Linked DNA regions of Drosophila melanogaster. The protein of the gene in region 1 interacts with the protein of each later gene in a pairwise test. Each region holds a gene or a part of one and is shown in the gene's direction. Other genes may lie near its edges.

Region 1 (12,294 bases):
GGTGCCATGGGGATTGTTATCGAAATCAATTTCACAGGTAACAGTCATAATTGTAATTGTAACCGCAATCGTGTATTTATGGGCCGATCCTACTCTGATGCCGCTGCAAACACGACTGATTTGATTTTAATGCCAATGTTCAGTTATTTACTCCCTAAATTCCGAGAACTCCAGACAGAGTGGAAGGAACCGCTTTTCGCGACGATAGCACCCACATGCCCACTTGGCTGCCAGAAATCAACTGAGAATAAAACAAACATTGCGGTTGTTCTATATTGGTAGCGATGGCCAGAAAAACTTTATCTTATCGCTGTCACAATTTTGAATTATACATTTTGCCAAATGCAGTCGAGCAGCAAATAGCCCTCATATCTCCGGAAAAATCCCAAGGACTTCTTGACAAGCAGGCGTGGGATGGGATGTCCAATGGTTCTCAAATGTAGAATAGTTTTTTCGCCCGCCTTCATTTCTTTTCCTCTTTATCCAAAGCCGCTTCCTTGCTCTTTTCTACAGTTGAAGTAGACAAATCGAAGACAGGATACAACGGCTTGTAAGACTTCTCTTGCGCATTTCCCGACTCTGACTGTTTCTCAGAGTCACTATGGGAATGCATGGCCTCGGCGTAGTTCGGTGGCGCTATAAAAATCGTATGGTTACATAATTGATATGGACATATTAAAACAAGGACAGCTTACATAGTGTGGATCCTTCTGACCAGGGATATGGGGGAGCAGCTGGAGCAAAAGCTCCCTCTCCCTCAATCAAAGTCAAAGCTCTTTGTTCTGGAGCCTCTGGCCCAGAGCTCTGCGGCGTATATTGCACCGCTGACGGCGATATCGGAACACCACAAATAGTCACCGGCATTATCAGAGTTCCATTGATATGCATGCCCTTCACCTTGGCCACAACCTCGATCTGGTATCCGATCTTGATAATGCGGCACAGATGGAAACATGAAGGCGGAGTAGAGGGTATCATCAGTTGGAAGTCGTACATTTTCCGGGAGTTCCTCAAAACTCCATCTGCCTTTAACTTGGCCACGGACTTGCGCTCGCACTTGGAACCTGAACTTAGATCACTGTAGTAGGTGATCATCATTGATAGTCCAACCTTCACTTCGTGCACCCGAATTTTGCTTTCGTTACCAATCAGAACATTTGCGGGTACCGTCTGACCAGGCACAAAGCCAGTCTGCGGCAAATTCAGCTCCAGCGTTAGAGGATCCGATCGGAAGGGCCAGACCCCAAAGGTTTTCTCAGTCTTGGCCTGCACGGGAACCTTAAAAGCGATTACATTGTTATAGCAGACCTCCAAAATTTCGTTTCATGTTATATTTACCTGTGAAACAGAGTTATAGGTGTTTATGTCCATCACTTGAATAACGGTGAAAGCTCTTGAGAAAATGCTGTCGTACTTCCACGGCTGAATGATATTGACATCCACCATATAACGTATACGACCATGAGTCCCCTCGAACGATGAGGGACAATTGATTGGAATTGGACAAGCAAAATTGTAGGACCTAGTTCCCGGCTCCAAAGCCATTTCTTTGCGAATACATAAAATGAAATTTTGACCAATTTCAATAACAAATTATCACTCAATATTTTACCAGGGCTAATTTCGGAACCCAAAAGATAAACTTTACTGGAAAGGTATTTCTCAAATCCATTGTACGACTCTGAAGTGGACTTGTTATTCGAATCAGTCTTGCTTTCGGTCCAATGGGTCTCTGCATAACCTTTTAGCTTAAGTCGAATTGCTTAATATGTAAAATGTTGCGAGAATTATATGAAGTATCGCAATCACAACTGAGTACTTACCTTTGATTTGAATCGCCTTATCAGTGCTCAGAGTCACTTGACCAGCAACCATTTGGCCCGCGTAAAAAACCCCTTGCGTGTTGTTGTGAAAAAGAATTTGGCAAATTATTCCCATGGTTTTTTATGGTTAAAGCACAAGTTTTAATGAATTTAAGTCTGTCGTTAATTGTTAAGATGTTTTCCCTTCAATTGCCGCAATCAAACTGAACTAAAAAGTTTCTTACCACTTATTTTGTGCAACGGAGAGCTTTTGGTAATTTATCTTATCAGTACACCCATAAATCTATTTATTGGTAAACCCAAAAACCCCCTACAATTTTTTTATACAATAAATAGATCATTCGTAACCAGCTAACATGAGAACTGAATTATCAGGTCCAAAAACAGCTGATACTTATATTTGTGGTGTAAAAACAAGTGCCCCCAAATGAGTTGAGGCTCTCGCATCTGAAGATAGCAATTTCACTCAAATAAATATATTAACTCATCGATAAGATATCGCACAACTCAGCAAATATTGCTCACTGAGGTCGACGAAAAGTTCCCGCAGTTTGCGTTCAACCACAGGGTAATTGTCATGTCTGTTGTATTTCGATTACTTATTAATTATTTACAGAGTGGGTACATTCATTTTTAAGCCCTTCTAAAGCCAAGTGCTTTTTTCTACACCTTCATTGACATAGCCGCCATCAGTCTTGGGTTCATTTGCTCTCAAAGTCATTTCGTCCACTTGGTTTGACAAATCAAAGACTGCGTATAAGGGTGAAAACACAATTGTTTCAGCTTTCCTCTCTTGTGATCCTTTTACACCTCTTTTCTGAGACTTTTTCTTCGATTTCGAGAACTTGTGCGGATCCGGGGAGATGTGTTTAGCCTCAGCATAACTCGGCGGTGCTAAAATAAATAAGTGATTCCTTGAATTATGATCTTTAAATTCGAATATGGAGTTTTGTATGAATTTCCTTAAAGCTCCTATTTTACTCACCAATTGAAGGATCCGCAGCCCAAGGATTGGGGCTTCCGAGTGCTTCTCCATTCTGTTCGCTGCCAATTAAAATCAAAGCCTTCGCATCTAGCTGCTGGGGTGGCAGAACTTCACCCCAAGTCCTTGGTTCTTTTTGGAGTTGCTTCGTTAGCGGGACACTTCCAATAGTTATGGGCATGTGAAGGGACTGGCCGCCATGACAACCTTTAACTCTGGCCTCCGCTTCCACCTGATAGCCGATCTGAATGATGCTGCATAGATTAAAGCAGGTTGGCGGAGTTGGCGGCACCTTAAGATCGAAGGTAAACTGCTGCCGGCATTTGGTCGACACACCTCCGCCTGTTTTCAGGACCATCTCAAAACGGTCCTTGTTGGTGTCCGCGGACGGGGGTTGACTGTAGTAAATCACCACCATAGTCAGTTTTACGGTTATGTCCTCCACGGCTACACCACTGTCATTGGAGACCATCACCTCCACCGGCACGATCTGTCCTGGCACAAAGCCACTCTGTGGAACAGAAAGTCGCATACTGAGTGGCGACGAGCGGCAGGGAAAACAGCAGAAAGTTCGCTGGGACTCCACTTGACTAGGTACCTAAAATTTATAAAATATAAAAATATAAAATTTTATACTTGACCATGGTACAACCAAAGACACTAGAATTAGACATTATTCTAATGTCTTTGGTACAACACATGGTACAGTGGACTATTCCATAGTGTGTGGAGAGACTAAGAAACATACCCTCAGCATTAGGCTTTCGGAGTTCAGGTCCATCACTTTGATCACAGTGAAGCATCGATTAAAGTTCAGATCGAACTTCCACGGACGCACGAACCTCACGTTCACCAGATAACGTATCCGACCTAGTGTCCCCTCGAAAGAAGAGGGACATGTGATGGGCAACTGACAGGCGAATCTATACGAGCTGGTGCCAGGCTCAATAAGCACCTCTGAAATGGAGCTTTGATTTCATTATCTCTAGATTTATGGTGATTTATCATCTTCGAACATACCTATGCTGGAACTAGACCCGTGCAGATAAGCCCTAGTGGCCAAGTAGTCCACATGTCCGTTGAATGATTCACCATTCGACTGATCATCCGGATCGTGTTCGGTATCCGCCCAGTGGGTTTCGGCATATCCCTTGATGTTAAGGATTACAGCTGAAGTAAAAATAAAAGCTATTTTAAGCCCCTGCAACACTTGCACTTCAAATCAATTAAGTCTTTTAGCAAGTAACGTTTGTTTTGAGTAGAGCAAAATGAATCAGCGCCTTACCTTTCACTGACTTTTCCTTCTCAGTTTTAATGACCACCTGTCCTGAAATCAACTGGCCTGCATAAAAAATTCCTTGGGAATTATTGCAGAACTCAATCTCACAGATTACCATTGTGCGGAATAATTTGTATGATAATCCGGGAGCTGTTTAACTTTTGCCCTGTCTGTGTCGTGGCTCCCAACAAACTGAAGTCACCCGCTGCGGCTATTTTTATTTTATTTTTTGTGCAGCATTTATTTGGCCAACATTTTTATTTTATCTTATCAATGCGATAGGTATCTCAGTATTTAAACACAAATTTTTACCATTGCTATCGGAGTATTTACATATGTAAGTGACAGCAATTTGAGAAGTACGAAATTGGCAGGCAGAACTGATCGATGAGGGCCAGTTTTCCCAAGGTTGAGATAGCGATGATAGGGCGTTGTACCAATAAAGAAATAGAGGATAATGGAGTCCCTGATTTATCGCATAAGTTGTTAATAAATTAATGAAGGAATTTCTCTCAACTGGCCGCGTTGCCAACTATCCAGATAGACAAATATTGCAGTGGGTTTTGTACTGAGTTGAGCCGATAAGATAATGCCAGCCGACGGTAAAACTGAAAATGAGAGTCCAGGCCATGTTAGCAATACAGTTGGCCCAGTTCGTGTTTAGCAGCGGGCGCGTTAGGATCGCTCGCAAATCTAAAAGCTCTGGAGAGGCATAAGCCCATTACCTATTCGCCAACATGTCGAAGAACTGCATGATAACGTTCGACCAGAATGAGCACGGCACCTACTTCACCGGCCAGGTGATAACCGGCAAGGTGATTGTCAATCTGAACAAGACCAAGAAACTGCGAGGTAAGTAAGACCAACTAGGATACCCCAACAGTACGGAAACTAGTGGGGGCTTTCGCTTATCGAGCGCGGCGTATCTTATCGCTTCGGATAATGTCAGGTTTGGCAAAAGCAAAAGATTCAACAAACCATTGAAATGGGTAATTAAGTGATAACTATGCGGACACTCCAAATGTGCGATAATTGATGATTCCTGGAGCCGAAGGGGAGCGATAACAACCTTACTTATAGTTGGGGATCTACCCAACGAATTATATTTTCTTTCGAGGAAATACCAGGGAACTTACTCACGGTTTTCGTCTGGGCTTTGCAGTGATATGGACAACAAGTTTTGTTGATTCTTCGAAATATATGTTTTCTACTTCTATTTAAAAAAAAAAAGGTTAATTTTTGTCTTTAAGTTATTTCATTTCCATTTTGCATCTGCGTGCTTGCAGCCCAAATCAAATATTTAAACAATTTGAATAATTTTATAGTGTGCGTCAACAGTTTCCGTATTAGTTAAATTTAAAATGCCCCTAAGACGCTTTTATTAACTGTTTTTGGAAATGTCTTTCAGTGCTTCTCGCTTTTGTTTTATCTTATCCTAATATTACCCCTACCTTATGAGGTAACCCAAAGAGATAAACAAAGTGAGCTAGTTTTATTAGGAAGCCCGTTGTATTTTTTTTTAACTTTTTTATTAAGGTACTGATTTCTTTGTCTATATTATAGCCTATATTATAGTATTATTATGGAAATATTATAAATGTTAGTCAGCACATCTCATATTTCTCTGTTAAGAAGTCATGTTATTGAAGATCTACATATTCTAATATTTCTTGTCTTTTAGGAATAAAACTGCAAATAAGTGGCTATGCGCAAGCCCAGTGGCGCATCCGCAGACATGGTAAGGCGGTGGCAATCCAAAACCCCAAGAAGCGATCAAAGCACCAGTACAGCGGGCGGGAGGACTATATAGCCTCCACCACTTACCTCATGGGTTCCGAGCAGGGCAGCAACTTTAACATGGACGCCGGCACGTACACCTACACTTTTGCTTGCCCCATTCCCAGCCACTGCCCCTCGTCCTTCGAGGGTGCCTATGGACACATCCGGTATCTGGCCAAGGTCACCTTTTTGAAGCCAGGAGCTTCCAATCGCACCCACAACGTGGGCTTCACTGTGCTAAAGCTGCTGGACTTGAACCAGGAGACCAAGATGCTCCGGGAACCGGCGAGCAATGAAGCCGTGGAACACTTTTGCCTGATGCACACGAAGCCCGTGCAGTTGAAGGTCACTCTCCAGCAGCAGGGCTATGTTCCGGGTCAGTTCATGTTGATCCACGCCCATGTGCGTAATGACTCCAGCTCCGATTGTCGGAAGCTACTGATCATGCTGCATTTGAGAGCCACATACACGGCGGATACGCCCTCGCTACGCACCACATCCGAGAAGATAATGCTGGTGAAGCGCGAGTGCGGTCCGGTGGCTCATAATGCGCAGAGGACTTACACGGAAACCCTGAGGATTCCGGCAACGGCGCCCACCTGCGAGCACCTAAGCAAGGTGGTGCGCGTATCTTACGAAGTGCGTGTGGTGGCTGTTATGAACTGGCTTATGGCTAATCCCCGGCTCATAATCCCTGTGACTATTGGCAACGTGCCCCTGGCAACTGCGGTGTCCGGACCGGACTTCCTGCCAACTAACGCCTTCCCATCTGGAAGTTCGCTGCCTGCCGACTTGCCATGCACCTCTACAAGGGCCATGGAACTGGCTCAGATGGCCGCAAGCGGGGTCAGCAACTCCGGCTACGAGATGGCCGAGGATCTAGAGGACTTCGAGCTTCCAGAGGATGGAGATGATGAGTTGGAGGCCGCCGACGATTTCGTACCAGATTTACGTGAGTACAAGAGAACAAAATATTTCTAGCTAGGACTTTGTTATGAAAGATGTTAAATAGAGCCCTTATGTATATGTTCTTTATATTTTTGTTATGCTATTGTGAGGCGATAGTTTCATTCTTCATTCTCCATATTTTTTATGTCATTTTTTCTATAGCTCCTCCTACCTACGAGCAGGCCATGTTCATGACCACTGATATTGCGGACACGGACGCGAACACGGTCAGCGAGGCCTCCCGATTTACTCCACGCTATCCGGTCTTCGATGTGGACACCTTCCAGAGCCCGCCGCCAAATCCTCCCCAGAAGAAAAGGCGCCGCCGACGCAGACGTCCTGCCGATCCTGGACAGTCGAAGCAACAACCGGAGAAACAACCAGTGGAGTCACCCGTGCAGATCTGAGGGCAGTTATCGCGAAAAATCACGACTATATCTTATCTCGGCAGTATTTATTTCTTTTACGGTTCGCCAGTGTACTTACCAAAATGTTTACTATATATGTATGTATATCGGAATGATAAACAACCCAGAATATAAAAGTGTCTACTGGGTGATACGCGATAAATTGCGACTATAGCCTAGACAACCAAGTCCATGAAGGCATTGAACTACAAATTTATTTATTCATTTATAAATTAAATTGAGTGGAGGACTTCTAGCTCAGTCCGTGAGTTTAAATACTTATGAGAGCTAGAAATTTTGATTTACGCATACATGCTCCCAATTTCTAATTCTATTGCTTGACAATTTCCATTAAAATGCAAAAAAAAAATGTATAACTTCCTCTCTATCTGAGTAACAGGTATCTGATCCGGCCCATTCCGAATTATATAGAATATATAGCATAGAAACGGACATGCATTTATCGCCTTAATACTGATCAAACATTCTCTCGACTGTCAAGATACCCTTTGGTTGCTACGCACCACGATAGAAAATCAGGAACTTCTTGGACTTTTGCGCGTTTGTAAATGAGTACAAATCATCATTAACAAACGTAATCAACTATCACAGACTTAAGTCCATAGACGACTTAACTTGATGTGATTCTTTTTCACCGTATTTCGTCCAAAAAATAATAACAACGCGATAATAACAACTCAACTAAACTAGAGCTTTCACAGAACCCACCTGATTTTTGTTTACAAATTTTTAGATTTGTTGTTGCCTTATTCTTCGTAACAAAACAAACAAAAAAGAGAACCGTTTATCAAAATCCGATGCCTCTCAATTTTGTTTTTTTTTTTTAGTGAGCGGAAGCCCCAAAAGCTCGCTCACCAGAAAAGCTTTGGCTCTCGCCAAGTGATGATGTCACTGACATCCCAGCTGTTGCAGACCGGCTATTCTCATTCTAAATTCTCACTTCGGGTGCGACGCTTGTCTGGTGCTAAATAAATTCACGTTGCGCGTCGCCAGTGAATAAGATCTGGAATTTCGAAATATATGTGCCAGCACCCACATACTAAATAATAGATTGCATTTCCAAAATGCCTTCCAGCTGCTCTTTTGAGCTCGATCGCCGCGAACCCATTTACTACAGTGGTGAGACGGTCAATGGAAGGGCCATTCTGACAACAACATCCGAAAAGTCTGTGAACGGTGAGTTTTAGTCGTTAAAAAGCGAATGGACTGATATGTTTTTAATTTGAGCGTAATCACTGTTGACTCTGTGATAACACCAAGCCGGTTTTATAGAATGCAGCAAACAAACAAGTTTGTTGTAGCGCCATAAAGTGTTTTGCTTCTTATATAAGAAGGATTTTAGCGACCATTTATGTGGCTTTAATTGTCTCAAATGTTTAATTCCTAGTATCCTAAATTGCATGCCCTGATGAGCTCAGTTCGCCCCTAACTACAAATTCATTGATCAATTTTTGCGTTTTTCAAATAGCCAATTCTAAAAACAAACTTGAAAGCTTTACAAAAGATAACAAAAGTATGTATACAAGCAAACAAGTATTTGATACAGTGCTCTGTATCAATTTCCATGTTCAGTTCCATTTTTGATTGGCGTAATCTCATTCTGCACTTACAGCAACTCCTTCGGAGTCCGAAGAAGGCTTTCACATACGTTCAACATATAAAGATTCGTTTTCGGATACAAACCATATTCAAATATCACTCTCTCTCTTTTCACTTTCTGATTAGAGGTATACATTCTTTTCGAGGGCGAGGCAAAGGTGCGATGGGATGAGCGGCGAACAAGGACGAGAGGTGGAAAGACCGAGCACTACACGGAGTATTTCCGAGGCAAGCAGCAGTACTTGTACACCCGGACATCGGTCTTTGGATCCGGGAATCTGCCGCCAGGTACGCACACCTACAACTTCTGCATTCCACTGCCCCTGGAATGCCCCTCATCAGTGGTGGCCCAGTACGGAAAAATCTTCTACGAGGTCTCCGTGGTCATCGATCGCCAGTGGCGCTTCAACAACGTCTTCAAGCAGCCACTGACGGTCATACAGACCTACAACCTCAACATGAGCCCCCAATTGCTGGTGAGTCCAAGGACAGGAACAGTTTACTAAAAGTTTAGATTGCACTAATCGGTAGTAAATCAATGCAGTTTTAAATTGTCCTGCGACAGATATTTAAGGACAATTAGACGAGTCATTCAAGTATAGAAACATTGCGTGCCTTATGGACGTAAATTCCGAAGTTATTAAACAAACAAGGGGTGTGTTCATTCAAACCAAAGCTATGGGACTAAATAAAAAATTTAAATAAATTAAAAATAAATTTTTTACGATCCTAACCTGTAGAAATGTAAACAAAAAAATGTTAATTAAACTTTAAAATTATATCAATAAGAGTAATTAGGTAATATTAGTTATTCCTAGGAACTAATAAATGCACACTCTTTTTCGACAGATGCCCCTAGTCCGAGAGGACATCAAGCACTTTTGCTGTTGGCCCTGCAGTTCAGGCCCGGTTCTATCGACATTAACAATACCCTTCGGTGGTTACGCGCCTGGTCAGAAGATACGCTTTACTCTGGAGATTGACAACCAGTCGAGTGGCTATGATCTGAATGGGATCGAACTGAAACTTAAGCAGATTTACAAATTCCAGGCTCAAACGCCGCACCACAAAACTCGCGAAAAGGAGCACAGCCTCAACAAAAGTTGCCAGCAGGAGCGCGTTTTGAGGCTCTCAAAGAAAAAAATTGAAGGAACCCTGGCTATTCCAGCAGTACCGCCCTCTTCCCGCACCGAAGGCATCATTTCGGTTAGTTACCAAGTTATCCTCACGATCAGCACTGGCGACTGCCACGTGGACTCGGACTTTGAGGTGCCGATTGTAATTGGCACCATACCATTGATCCAAAGTGCCGAGAATCCAGCCAGTGCAGCACAGTGGATACCGGAAACGCCGGACACTCCTGCCGGAGCCGCCGCAGATCTGCCTCCCAGTTATGACAAGTGCAGTAAGTATATAGCGAAATCATAGATACTCTTCATTTGAATTTGTAAATGCTTAAAGGTGCTTGATCATTGTATAATTCTTATACTATTCATGTTTTTAGAGCCACCAACCTTCGAGGAGGCCACAAACTTTGGTGAAAGGTTCATCGACATCGATCAGGATGAGCACAATCGCACGGATGACTTTATTCCGCGTTACCCCATGTACACCAACTTTGCCATGCCATCGGCTCCACCTCAACCCCCTGAAGAGTTCGCTACCAATCAACCAGTACCCGTTCTGTCACTACCTCATGATCCCACTGCCCCATTGGTCGGTCAAAACAATACTGACCGTCCAACACAATCGTACGGTTGGAACACTAACTCATAAAAAAAAGAAGACATAATCTCATAAAATGATTTTACTTTGATTTAGCTTTGGATGTTACCAATAAACATAGTTTAACCGTTTATCGTGAAACTAAATCTTAGGAATATATATAAGTTATCCAACCAAATTTTCTAGTTTAGAAAGTCATCAATGAACAAAATTTCCTTGAAAATATATTTTAAATTCGAAATTCTTAGCGTAACACTCGCACTTATGTGACGAATTATCCAACTCTATCTGTAGGTTCAACTACAATATATTTGTTGGGCAATGGGCAATAAATCAGATTCTATGCAAATCCTTTCTAATTAAGTCAACAATATCGAATCACATCGCTAATATTCTCGATTCCACATAGAACACACTTATCAATACTTATCACTTACTTATCAATACCCACACATCAATATTTCTTTTATTAAATATAAACAAAATTTCAAAATTGGTACTTGAAAGTGAATGCGTTAAAAGATCGTTCTAGGTATATGATATTGATTCTTAAAATAAATCATTCCCTTGATTTAAAATTGCCACCAGTAAAAGTATCAGTTACCACTTGTGATAATGGAATAATATATATTTGTGTAATTTTGCTAGTGAATGAAATAAATTAGTAAAATAAAATAGTGGCGTGCATTTAATGAGACTTCACTTCCTCCGATTGAGTCTGGTCCATTTCGTAGTAGACATAGCGTGGTCTAAAATCCAACTGTTCGCCGGACAAGTAATGTTTGTTGGTCTTATTCAGATTGGTGGCTACCATGAACTCGGCTTCCCGGAAATTCGAAGCTAGAAAGAAATTCGAAATATAAAATGCAAACGGATATTCTATAAATCGGGAATAGACGTACCCAAAGATGTGGTGGAAATGCTAAAATTCGGAATCAATGTTGATGCTGTTTCGACTGGAGGAGTTGGTTCCGGAGCAGTGCCATCAATGGGTTCTTGCATTAGGAGTTTGCCAGGACAGGGCGGCGTCACATTTCCAATGATGACCGGCATCCGGGCCGCAATTAAGCGCTTTTCCTGCTGAGTTGTGACCAGCACCTCCACCTCGTAGTTGAGCTGCAGGCAGGCACATCCTGCCACAGTCAATGTGGCCGCTGTTTGTGGCACTTGCAGCATGTGAAGATGCTGAAAATTCTGCAGTTCTCCACGGGGGAGGTTGTGGAGCTCGTGGCGGCTGCTTAGGACAGTTTGTCGCTCCACCTTGGTCTCCAAGCGTTTGGGCTTATTCTTTAGATGGGCAACGTAAGTGCTGATCTGAACGAGGGAATACACCGCCTCGCGAAGTGTCAATTTCTCCGGGTTATGCAGCTTTAAGTGAACAGAAATACCTGCTCCTGGCGAATAACCCTGCCTGGGAATCTGGAGCTGCAGATGAAGTGGCTTCATCCAGAATCTAAGGCGAGGAGTCTGCTCATAGATCTGGATCTCACAGCTCCGCGTCTCCTGGCTCAGAGAGTTCTGCGGGAAAATCTGCAGCTGGCGTACATGGAGCACCTCCAGCGGACGATCTGCACTGCTGTGGATGAGCACTTGGAGTGTGTACCGTATGTGTCCGTGGCCCCCCTCGAAATTCCCCGGACAGTTCTTGGGCAGCTTCACATGGAAACCGTAATTGTAGGTGCCCGCCTCCATTATCTGTGGCTGTGCGGCCTCCGAGCCCACAAAATAATC
Region 2 (12,489 bases), on another chromosome or scaffold:
GCAGGATCAGCAGGAGCGACGGGAGCAGCAGCAACAACAGCAGCAGCACCGGCAAGCAGCAGCACTGCAGCAGCAGCAGCAACATCATCCGCGACGGCAGCAACACCAACGGACTCGACAGCAACACCAATGCCCAGCCAAGACGGCAACCAGAAAGCACTTCCAGGCGGCACCGAGAGCTTAAAGCTCATCGCCTCGGTTGGCTACATCGAAAGACCCCTCTCGCCTAGCAGCAGCATCATAGTGGAGCAACAGGTGAAGCCGCTGGTCACCTACAACGCCGACGGACTGCAGCCGCTGACCAGCAACGATCCCAGCAAGGTGAACATCAAGCGGGAGTACACCACCGAGGGATCCACACTGAGCACCAAGAACTACGAGGAATCCGCACTGCCCATATTCGTGCAGAATGGCTTCAGGGATTCGCTGGTGGAGCCGTCCGATGCGGAACTTGAACCCGATACGGCGGGCAGTGATAACATTTACCACATCATATCCACCACCGAGGGACCTGGAACCGTTATCAAAGTGACCACGGATGCACCACCAAAGCCCAGCGAGACCTCACCCACCATCCAAACCGTGATCAGCCCAAACACCACCAAGTCAGACGTCGAGAGTAGCTCCGATTCCGTCGCAGTAAGCAGTGAGATGCCGCCAGTGAGCTCCACTCATCACATGGACGTGGATGATGATGTACCTCAAGTGGAATCCAATCCAGCCTATCCCTCGCTGCCCGAGGACGACTTCAGTCTGCGAGACGTAAACTTTCCGCTCGTCGAGCTGGAGGACATAGCCGAGTCCGAGAAGGATGAGCCTCGGAGCATACCCAGCCCCTTTGAGGTGGACCACAGGCATGTGAAACTGGCGACCGATACCAGCCTGGATGGCAGTGGCAGCGGAAGTGGTGGTGGCGACATCGATCTCTACCAGGATAAGTCTTCTACCACCGAGGAAATGATGGCGTCCGGCTCATCCATTCACGAGAAGAGCTCCCTGGTGCCACTGCTGATGTACAGTGGCGAGGATATATCCGGGGAGACGCGCATCCAGAACGGCAGCGATCTGCAGCTGGAGAAGATCAGCCAGGGTGAGGAGGTTGAGCTTGGCAGTGGGGAAATCAGGGAGCCCGTCACCCCCAAAACCAATGCCGTATCCACGCTGGAGATCGATGAACTGGGCTCGGGAGCGGGCCAGGTGGGCGGTGTGGATCCCAAGGCCGATGCCAAGAGCCTGAAGCTGGACGAGAGCCAGGAAACGGTGGCCAGGACCAGTGCCAGTGGACTGGACAAATCGTCGGCGAGGGCCGAGAAGAGCTTTGTGGAGCGGGCCCTGCCATTGGGGCGTCTATACCTCCAGCGCATCTACTGAGGATCGCCGCCTGGAGTGGCTCTACTTGACATATTTAACCCTTTTATTGTACATACGGACACCATGGGGCCTAGTGGCCTGCAAAGCAGCGAATATCCAACCATTCAAGTGAGCAGAATGGCGGCAGATTGTTAGGTTTAAGTAGCCAGAAGAAAGGGGAAGAAGATTCCATTATCATTTCCATAGACTGCATAGAACGACCTTTGAATTTATCAACTTTACGAACGTAATCATTAACTAACTAATGTATGATTAGCAGATTAGCAAAGCTGGGCTCCCCAAATGCAATAACGAAATGTTTCCATTATCTGGCAATCCATATTGCTTAGTTATACTTCTAATTTATACGTACTGAGCTAAGTGCACTGAAAACAAAATCAACCATTGTCCCCCACATTTGAAAATCATCGAATAAGTCGCAACATAAACGAAGGAGAAATTATTTAACTTGTTTTATCCCATCATGATTTTATTTAATTTGTAATTTATTTCATAACGAATGCAAATGATTTTGAGAAATGGTTTAATGCAATGGCCAACTGTGTAGTCCTCTTTGAATTGAAAAGCTTTTAAGTTTAGACTGAATATGGCAAAGTTTTAATTTAAAGCAATTTACTCCTACTTTAACCATAATTTATATACAATTTAAACTAATTTTACTTTGACATTGAGTCTTGATAATTATCGTTGGATTTTCCTAGAAAGGAAAATCAAAAGCTCGAGTGAATTTCAAAGCTGACGAGCGGAGAAAAGTGTCAAAATGAAAACGCAGTCATTCTTTAGTTAGTACGTACGAGTATAATAAATAATTAATTACCTATATGAACATAATTTATTTAGGCGATGATCGTGCACACTATCACTCACACACATACCACACAGAATTTTTGAGATAATTAAAATATATTATGAAAATACTTTAACTAGCGTAAATTTAGATTGAAGCTCATTTAACAATGTATGAAGTACGAAATAAAAATGAGGTAATTCTAAACACACAAGATAAAAGTTTTAAGTGGTTCATATCATATTTGGGAATATTTATTACCACAAATGATGCAAAAATCAGGGCCCTATAAAATACCCTACGATCATCGGACCCACCCAGATGTTATGCAAGCAGCCCCTCTGTACCTGCGGGCATGCCACGCCCCCTCCACGTACAACTCATTACACATGCAAGTGCATGTGGCGGCAATTACCAGAAATTAAATAAACAAACCGAAGCCCAGCAAAAAGCAACAAAATACAAAATACAAAAAAAAATAAATAAAAGTCCGAGGAAAACAATCACGACGACAACTGTTGCATCACGACCGCAGCACAAAAGTTGCCGGCGGGGCAACCACTCGGGTTACCAGCGACTCCATCGCCATTCCCATCCCCGGGTTACGTAACAAGGTTGAGGATAGGATACCATGCCATGCGATAGCAATGTGCCGACTTTTATTGTTAATTCGTATGCGCAGCGGGATCAGCGAGGAGAAAGTCGGCGAAGATCGTTAGGAAAAAGCCACAAATCAAACCAATAAATCACTCGTTTCGATTCGAGAGTTCGTTTGCAGAGGAACCAACTGGTTTTCGGGGAGGATCACTTTCGCTTTTAATATTTTTTTCGGATTTTTTTTTCCAATTGTTTTGGGTGGTAAATAAACGCTGCGATTAAATACTTGTAATGTTTTCGTTTTATTAGTGAGAAACTTAACAATGAGGACGAAATGCAATGAGCTAACCAAGGAAGTGGTCCTACGACTTAGTTGCGACCGATCTGGTCGACCTGGGACTGCAGGTTGTTTATCACCTCGGAGGGCACCTGGTCGCCGAGGATCTCGAAGAGATTGATGCGCTGGTTGCCGGGTATCTGCTCGTACGCGCCCAGCTCGATGCCCTCCTGCACGTTCTGGATCTGGGCATCCTTGGGGATGAGAAGCGTCTGCTGCGCCTGCCGGATCGCCTCGTTCGTGTAGGCGGCACCCTCGCGATTCTGGGGCAGGGATTGGGCACCAGCCAGGAGCAGGGCGAGCATCGAACACAGCGCGAACACTTTCATTTTGTGGGTTTTCTCGAGGGGATTCAACTGCAAGAGATGCACGGATTCAGTGGCGCTCGATGCGGACTGGATTTGGTTATGGTCTTACCTTGCGCGCGTCGTTTGTTGTAATGTTTCGGCTGCGCAGGCGCAATGCCCGTTTTATAAGCTGAGCTGCGCCGCTGGAAGCCCCGAAAATCTGGAAAGCTTTAACTCTTTCATTTCGCTTCGTTTCTGGTTTTTTGTAAAGCCAAAATGGTGGCACAAAGTAGTAGTACCGAAAAAAAGTGTTATTACTTCCCAGCTTAATATCCCCATCGACCCATTAAGGTGAATACATTTTTTATTGGAAATTTTTTATTTTCTTGGGCATTTGTCCAATTTTGATGCGAAGGTTAAGCGCCACTTCAGAAATGTCAAGTGGCATTTAACCTTCCAGTGAACACTCGGCCGCAAAGTGGTCTTTCAGGTGCTATCTGGTTCATATTAATAGCCTGAACGTAAAATATTAACAATTACCAGTCTTTGAAGATTGAAGAGTCATTTACAAATTGCCGCCGCGGCTGTGCATTTTTTGGTTTCTTATTTTTCCATTTTGCGTAAGACGATCAAAAGGAAGAGAAGCAGTTAGTGGCTAAATTACAGCAAATCATCTGCGCCTGATTTGCTTGCAAAAAATATTTAATTATCAGTATTGCGAATTGGCTCGTATCTCTGTAAGATTTTTTTGTAATAAAAAAAAGGAGAAACGACAAAGCAGTGGTTATGCAATCAGCGGTTTTTCGAATTTGATGAGTAATATTTTAGAGAAACAAAATCAAAGTGATTAGAAATACCATACACTCTATTAATATCTTTTTATTTGTTAAAGTAATCGGCAAATTACACTTAAGCAAGCTATTATAATTATGCATAGTTTTAACGCACCAAAAAATTTGAATTTAAAAACTCCGCTTAGTAGTAACGGGTGATAACAAGACGATAAGGCATTTCGATAAGAGCACAGCGATAGCAATGCGATAACTCTTATTCCGGCATGCGCTTCGGCGTTTTTTAGTGTTTTTGCATGTATTTGTTGCATTTACCATCGTTCGTTTAAAAACACGCTTCTTTTCAATTTAATTTTACACAACGATCTCCCGAAGGAAGAACCTCTAGTTTAGTGGTCAACACCTTGTACCACCTGCAGGAGTTAAGTCATAACCGTAGCAAACACACGCGGGAACACCCCAATCCCAATCCAGCCAAAAAGAAACGCACGTGGGCCAGGAGATGGATGTGGATAACGGCGAGGGGCAGGTGCAGGTGCACCTGAAGACCAAGCAGGAGCAGTGAGTGTCCATCTAGAATCTCTATCAGTAGAAGATTTTAATCAAGATACCCTATTTCAGCTATGCCGTGCCTGATGTGCCCTATGCCATCGATGGCACCGTCACCACCGTGGAGCTAAACACATTCGTGAACGCACTGTTGCGTCAAAAAGATGGCTCTTCCGACACGGACTTCGACTTCCTGGTGTTCGATGAGTACCTGCGTGGCCGGCTGTGCGATCACCTGCGCGAGAAAGCCATCAGTTTCGAGGACGCCATCGAGATCGAGTATGTGGAGCGGTTCCCGGCGCCAGAGCCACAGGATTGCCTGCTGCACGACGACTGGGTGTCCGCGGTGAAGGCTAGAGGAAAGTGGATCCTCTCCGGGTGCTACGACAACACCCTGAATTTGTGGACCAACAAAGGCAAGCACATTCTCACTATTTCTGGTCACACGGCGCCCATCAAGGCGGTGGACTGGATATCGCTGGACGAGGAGACGGGACGTTTTGTGTCCACATCGCAGGATCAGACCGCCATGCTGTGGCAGTGGAACGTGGGCTCCAACTCGGTGGAATGTGTCTCCGTGTGCAAGGGCCACGAGCGAGGCGTCGACAGTGTCAGCGTGAGTCCGGATGGTCTGAGATTTGCCACGGGCTCTTGGGACACGATGTTGAAGGTGTGGTCAGCAGAGCTGGACGATGCAGTCGAGGGCAGCTCAAAGCGGATGAAAGAGAGCGGTGTGAGAGTGAGTAGTCTTGCCATTTATAATTAGACTTGTAATCAGCTTTACAATTCCTTTCAGACCCCCAAAATTACGCTGCAGGGACATCGTGAGAGCGTATCAGCCGTGCAGTGGATGGATGCTACCACTCTGCTAACTGGCAGCTGGGATCACACACTCAAGGTGTGGGATCTGAGTCTTGAGGGCATCAAGACCGAAATATCCACCAACAAGTCCATATTCGATGCGAGCTACTCAAAGCTGAATCGGCTGATACTGACTGCTTCGGCGGACAAGAATCTGCGGCTCTATGATCCTAGGACAAACCGTAAGATCTAATACTCCAATATCAACAATGGAACTTCCACCTAACCAATATAATTCGGATCTTTCAGAGGGATCAGTGGTAAGGAATACCTATCTGGGACACAATGCCTGGGTGCAGACCGTCATGTGGTCCACCACGGAGGAGTTCCTATTTGTCTCCGGCGCTTATGACAACCAGAACAAGCTGTGGGACTGCAGGAGTCCCAAGGCCCCACTGTACGATCTTCTGGGTCACGGTGAAAAGGTCCTGGACATCGACTGGTCCAATCCCAAGTACATTGTATCTGGTGGTGTCGACAACACGGTGCGCGTATTCAAATCTCGCAAGGCGCTAGCGGAAGAAGCGGAGACGAAGTAATCCCAAAACTTGTAAACTTTTTATAAATACAAAACTAGTTTAAACTTTAAAGTAAATATTGAAAGATTTTACATCTGGGGTGTTACACTTAAATTATCGAAGTGGGTGAAGCAGAGAGGTATTCAAAGTGTATTATACATGGTGTAAATATTCTTGTTTTTTATTTCATTTACGAAATAGTTAGATTTCAATACTTGAATATTATTTTTATGGTATCCGCTTCCGAGTTGCCACAGTGCTAGAAAAGGCAAAAAACGGTTGCCAGAAGCCGAACATCGATAGTTCGCTAAGGATGAGCGGACAGCGCGAGCACCTAGAGACGGACCCGGACCGATAGCTGGCTACAAACATACAAATTATCGAGTTTCTAACAAAGATAAAGTCGGCTCTGCGTCGCCTCGTAATTTGCCAACTGTAATTTAGCGAAATAACAACGATCGCGACCGTGAGCCGCCGAGGAGTTTGGAGCGCCGACACTGCCACCCACCAAGGACGCCAGCGGAACAGCCGTGCATCCACTGCGAAGGCCGTGTGCGCGAGAGTGCGAGCGAGAGGGCAGCAGGCGACACAGGGAGAATCATTTTCGCAAGTGTTGTGATAGAAAAAAGTGAAAGAAACTGCAATAGTGAGGTGTGTATAGTGCTTCACGGGCTGGTCCCAAGATAGACCCCACCTAATCAGCGTCCAAATTCCGCGAAATTGTGCAATCGAGCTGCAGGCGGCGGAGTCAGCACCGTCATCATCATCCTCCGCCGTCGGCGGCGGCATTTTGCAAATGTCTGCTGATTGATTTTTTGCGGCATCCAGCACATGCTCTCGAAACTTTGGGGGCAAATGCTTGTCCAGCTATCACCTAATCCTGTCCAGCATCCACTGGCCTGACAACGAATCCCATGCAAAACCCACTTTTTACTGTCGGGGGTTTGCCAAAATGGCCGCTGCTCAATAGAAATGCGTGCGTTTGTGCGAAAAAAAGCAAACCCCTGTCATCATAAAGGGGCACAAACTGGGTGGAAAACCAGGTCAAGGACCCTGGGGAAGCCCCGTCCAAGATTCGCGTATAATTGCCGACTCCACTGGCCATACTTTTCACATCAACTACATTCGTACGCACAAAGTGCAGGCAAGAAGGGATTTCCCTTTAAAAATAAATGTGAATCCCAAGTAGGCTTTGGCTTCATATTTCACCAGTTTTCTATGGAAATTCCCTGCTGAACATAGTGGATCGTTTACATAAACCATTATCTAACCAAACATCAAAATACTCATTTCAGTTCGAAGAAACGAGACCAAAAATGTCTTCAACCCCAGCAGCGGGCAGTGCCGCCGAGGTGGCCACCTCCAGTGCCACCTCAAATGCGCCCAGTGCACCCAGCACAACGGCCAGCAACGTGAGCAATACCAGCCAGCCGACGACTGCCGGAACTCCGCAGGCACGTGGCGGCAGGGGCAGCAACGCCAACGGTGGTGCCTCCGGGAGCAATGCCGGTGGCGGAGATGAGCCGCGAAAGGAAGCCAAAACAACGCCCAGGATATCCAGGGCGCTGGGCACCTCGGCCAAGCGCATACAGAAGGAGCTGGCTGAGATCACACTGGACCCACCGCCCAACTGCAGTGCCGGGCCCAAGGGCGACAACCTGTACGAGTGGGTATCCACCATACTGGGACCACCCGGATCCGTCTACGAGGGCGGCGTCTTCTTCCTCGACATACACTTCTCGCCGGAGTATCCCTTCAAGCCACCCAAAGTCACGTTCCGCACGCGCATCTATCACTGCAACATCAACAGCCAGGGCGTCATTTGCCTGGACATACTCAAGGACAACTGGTCGCCGGCGCTGACCATATCAAAGGTCTTGCTGTCAATTTGCTCCCTGCTCACAGACTGTAATCCAGGTGAGACTTATTTTTTTTAGACTTTGATATACAGTGTCGTGTTCTCCACTTTGATTTAACTTTTCCTAGGACTGTAGTAAATATGATCTCATGTTTATATCATGTGTCTTTACAGCCGATCCGCTGGTGGGCAGCATTGCCACGCAATATTTGCAGAATCGTGAGGAGCACGATCGAATTGCGCGTCTCTGGACAAAAAGGTGAGTTGTCGCTGGAAAAGCGAGTAAACAAACTTAGTAATCTGTGTGCTTGTCTTTTAGGTACGCAACATGATGCGTAAGTTTTGGCAACGTGCATGTACCACAAACCGAAAACTGCAACAACAGAAACGAAAATTCGCATCTTGCAACGGAGAAAGTCTATTTTATAAATATATATTAAAGTACGATAACTACTAAATTAACAGTAACAACTACCGTAACACGAAAAGCAACCGCCAACAGCCAGTCGATCCAATCCAATCTAAATTCAGTCTATATTTATATCACGTTAATACAGAAGTTGTAAAAAAAAAAAAACATTTGGAGATTTCTTGAGTTGTATTTTTCGGAAACTAGTTTTGTTTTTAATTCGCTTAGCAACCGAAAACATTGTAACGAGTCACATTCGATGAAAAACTGCATCATGAATTGCACATTGACATATTAAACTATAAACTATTCAACTGCATAATAAATATAAATACAATTAGTTTACATTATATGTGTACAGTGTTAAGTGAAAATGGAGCTAAACGAGTAAAGAGAAAAGCCTATTTTAATGCGTAATGCGTAATATTAATGCAACCAATGTCAGGGCAGTAAACTTCGTAAAAGATGATTTTCATTCAAAAAAAAAAAAAAAAACTGGCCACAGCAAGGAAAATTCTCAACAACAAAAGACTAAAAATGAAGTGGTAAACGAAAAACGAAATAAATCTATGTATACAAAACTTAAGACAACCTATTCCAAATTCCAAAACAAAATTAAATAAATTTGTGTTATTTATATATGAAATCGGATTCGGTTTGATTTTTTAATGTGATATTTTTAAGCGTTCGAAATTTGTTTTTTTGGTCAAATACTACCTTTCACTAATAATGATTTTAGACTTGAACATTAAAAAGGCTCCACCACAGCGAAATTTGTTATTTTAAAGAAAGGCAATTACGAGTATAGTGCTGATATATAAAGGAAAAGAAAAGAAAAAAAGAATATAAATAAAAACCAACTTCCTACTATTTTGTAGTTTTAATGACTAAACCAGTCATCGTCGTCACTTCATTGAAAAAAAAACTGAGAACAAGATTTCGTAACAAAGTAATTGTAAGTTTTTTTCGTAACCAAAACAAAACTGAAATCGCAAATGGAAAGGAACTTAAATAAAAAATATTATAAAATTACTTTTCGACTCATTAATCGGTCCACAGGTAAGGCGATCGCTATGTTTAAGTTTTAGTTTTATTTGATATATCTTTGTTTATATAAAATACGTTTTTCATTACACAATTAATCGTAAATATATATATCCTCACGCTTCCCCGCACGTGGAACAACACAACGAATCTTGGCTAGCCCCCGACCTAATCCGCAGGCAACCGGCTTACAGATACATGCCGTTGACCAGGAAGTCCGCCTCCTGTGAGTAGGGCGTCTTGCCGCCCAGTCGTCGTGCCCTCCGCGTCACCGTCCGCATCCTGCACCCGATAAGAATGGCCAGCGCAGCGGTGACCAGCAGGCCCAGAGTCAGCGAGAGGACCGCCCCGCCAGGTCGCTCCGAGTGACCGTCGTGATCGCGGAACTCCATCGCCAGGTTGTCATGGATCATCTTGTACTGCTCGTGGACGGGGGAAGCGGGAACCGGCAGGGCTGGAAGGGATCCCTCCGGTTGCAACTTGTTTTGCTCCAGGGCAAGTTCAATGGGATCCTTGGCCGTCTTCGTCTTGACCTTCTTGTGTTTGTGCTGCTTCTGTGGTTTTAAAATGAATGGTTAATCTTAATCTATATTCATTCATCAGATCTTACCTTTTTTGGTGCCTCCGTGTACGTTTCCTCATCGTAATCATCGTAGTCCCCATCTGCCGCTGGACCCTGATTTTTCCCAGCTACGGGTGCTGCATTTAGGACTGGCAACATGGCTTGCTGCGCAGCTGGCGGAGATTGGATGGCCGGAGCAGCGGCGGCATAGACATGACCAGATTGCTGGGGCATCAGGGACTGCGACTGCTGCACGGGCGACTGTTGCTGCGGAATTAATGGAGCCTGCTGTGGCCACACCACACTCGCTTGCACCTGCTGCTGCTGTTGGCCAGCTGGAGCCTGGAGTTGCGCCGGCTGCTGTGGCATGTAGATTCCTGTGCGTGACATCCCGTATACAGCCTGGTTGGCCTCGTAGCCGGGCAGTTGCAGCGTTGGGGATTGCCCCTGAACCTGAACCTGACCTGCTCCCGCCATCTGACCCGGAACCTGGAGTGGCGACGGCGGTGGACCCTGTCCGTTTGCGGGCTGCTGCAGCTGGAGGCCGCCTTTATGGCTAAATATGTGGCTCTGTGCGTCTGTAAGAAAGCGGAGGCGAAGGCGTCACTAGGAAGCATGAAGTGTGTGTATCCCGGTTAACGCACAGCTAATTGAATTAATTACGCGCAGACAGAGGCACTGCACGCATAGGGCACAAGCATTCGTAAATCAATTTCGAGCGACGGCAGCTCCCATTTCACACAATGAAAACTGATGGGCTATTTGCGATTTTCCCAGCAGAAAAGCCCTCCGGAACAAGGGAGCGAGTGTGTCGTGGCCAAGTGGCCATGGCAGTGGGATCATTGCGTGCACTGTGCCGGCCATTTGTGTGCTAATGTCGCACTGGAGCGCCGTAGCCTCCGGGTATCACTCCCCATTCCCTGTCCTCATAAATATTTACTCAGCTTTTAGTTTTTGTTGGGCTGGAGTGCCTGGCTAGAACTAATTGCTCCTGGACACTCAATCGAGTTTAATTAACAACTTAATGCAACTTAGTGCAGTGCTGCAGCAGCTTTACTGGGTTGTGAGGCATAAAATAAAATAAATTATATAAAAAAAATGAAGAAAAGCCCTGTATGATTGCCAATCATAAGTTTGTTAGCGTTGAAGATTCTATAGATAAGACAGATATCATCAATTGGGAACTACATCGTATACTACAGCTGCAAAAGTTTCATTTCCTAAACTTTGTTGTGTTAATAATCATTAAATCTAATCTTTGACACATCATATGCTTTTAATACATCCTATCAACTAACTTCTAATCTTAACTATATTTTCCTAGACCCCTTATCTATACTAACCCGTGTTGATGATCTCCGTCTTTGGCTGCGATGATTGTTGCTGCTGTTGCTGTTGCAGTTGCTGCTGCGGCAGCTGCTGCTGCCCTTCGGCAATCATCTTGCGGTTGGCCCAGGCAGCGGCATCTTCACGATTGTTCACCATGGGCGGTGGAGGCGGCGGTGGCGGTGGTGGTCCCAAAACAATGACATGTTGTGGTTGCTGCTGCGGCTGTTGCTGTTGCTGCTGCGGTTGCTGCTGCTGCATCTGCTGGGCCACGACCTGCTGTGTCTGTTGCACGTTCTGCACGGGCACATACTGCGACACCATCGGCTTCACGGGCTCCAAATTGCTGCTGGTAGTGGCCGGTTTTGTGGCCGTCGACAGCACGATGTTGCACTGAAAATGGGGTTAGCAATTAACGGTTGAGGGAGTGTGTGTATTTGGCTGGAGGTGAAAGTGCAACTCACTTCCGGTCCCTCGTCGCTGCCATCCTCGCACTGGGGTATTCCATCGCAGGCATTGTACACCGCGATGCACTCGCCGGAGTGGCAGGTGAACTGGAAGCGTCCACAATGCGCGGCGGGAACTGAAAAAGTGGTTACGTTAGTTTCTCGAAGGGGAACAATTTTAAATAGTAGGTAATCAATCGTAGGAATTTTTAGATAATATTTTTAGTTTAAGATTGATTTAGATTTTAAATTCAAATTGTTCTTATATATATTCTAAGCTTCAAATCGCATATACCCGTGATTTCTATAAAGTACAAGGTATCGAAAACCCGACCACAACTCACCACTTTGCGATTGGTAAACTGGCGACTGGCCCACTCCCAGACCCACTCCCGTTCCCGTTCCCGTTCCCGATGTGGGAGCCACCACTGCGGCGGTGGAAACAGTGGGCTTGTCGCGCGCTTCCGGCTTTAGCTTCAGGTTGCTCAGCTCCCATTCCTGCTGCGACACATTGTTGCTGGGGATGTGGGGCAACTGCGGACGCGGTGTGGTCACCAGCTCACCGACTGGCTTTGGCTGTGGATTCAGCACGGCACTCGTGTAGTTGGCGTGCCTGGTGAACTTGCAGCGGAAATCCTCCGGAGGACCGCACTCGAAGAGGTAGCAATAGCCACCCGCCTTCCGCTCGAAGATGTACACATCGCAGGCGTCCGTCTCGCAGCACAGCCTTTCGCATTCCTCGATGG

What was found.
Region 2: the proteins of CG10086 (region 1) and Ubc2 interact in a two-hybrid assay, tested with the Drosophila melanogaster proteins (2 studies listed by BioGRID).

Annotation. Positions count from the first base shown.
Region 1 is NT_033777.3:7,785,906-7,798,199, forward strand, and holds CG10086 (uncharacterized protein), read left to right. Parts: upstream 1-4,727; 5' UTR 4,728-4,821; coding exon 4,822-4,936; intron 4,937-5,765; coding exon 5,766-6,815; intron 6,816-6,973; coding exon 6,974-7,218; 3' UTR 7,219-7,578; downstream 7,579-12,294. Other genes in the region: CG18745 (uncharacterized protein), read right to left, coding at 1-48; CG18748 (uncharacterized protein), read right to left, coding at 464-636, 696-1,278, 1,339-1,547, 1,613-1,762, 1,824-1,938; CG18746 (uncharacterized protein), read right to left, coding at 2,467-2,717, 2,809-3,403, 3,554-3,762, 3,826-3,975, 4,091-4,202; CG2641 (uncharacterized protein), read left to right, coding at 8,304-8,415, 8,965-9,314, 9,688-10,243, 10,343-10,614; CG18744 (uncharacterized protein), read right to left, coding at 11,252-11,403, 11,466-12,294.
Region 2 is NT_033779.5:10,761,917-10,774,405, reverse strand, and holds Ubc2 (ubiquitin conjugating enzyme 2), read left to right. Parts: upstream 1-6,466; 5' UTR 6,467-6,749; intron 6,750-7,319; exon of another isoform or gene 7,320-7,393; 5' UTR 7,394-7,414; coding exon 7,415-8,015; intron 8,016-8,130; coding exon 8,131-8,215; intron 8,216-8,275; coding exon 8,276-8,288; 3' UTR 8,289-9,396; downstream 9,397-12,489. Other genes in the region: CG31869 (uncharacterized protein), read left to right, coding at 1-1,371; CG17127 (uncharacterized protein), read right to left, coding at 3,125-3,421; CG6724 (uncharacterized protein), read left to right, coding at 4,673-4,731, 4,792-5,458, 5,516-5,762, 5,830-6,119; CG6495 (uncharacterized protein), read right to left, coding at 9,598-9,963, 10,020-10,549, 11,315-11,690, 11,762-11,880, 12,088-12,489. UniProt on the Drosophila melanogaster protein: Catalyzes the covalent attachment of ubiquitin to other proteins.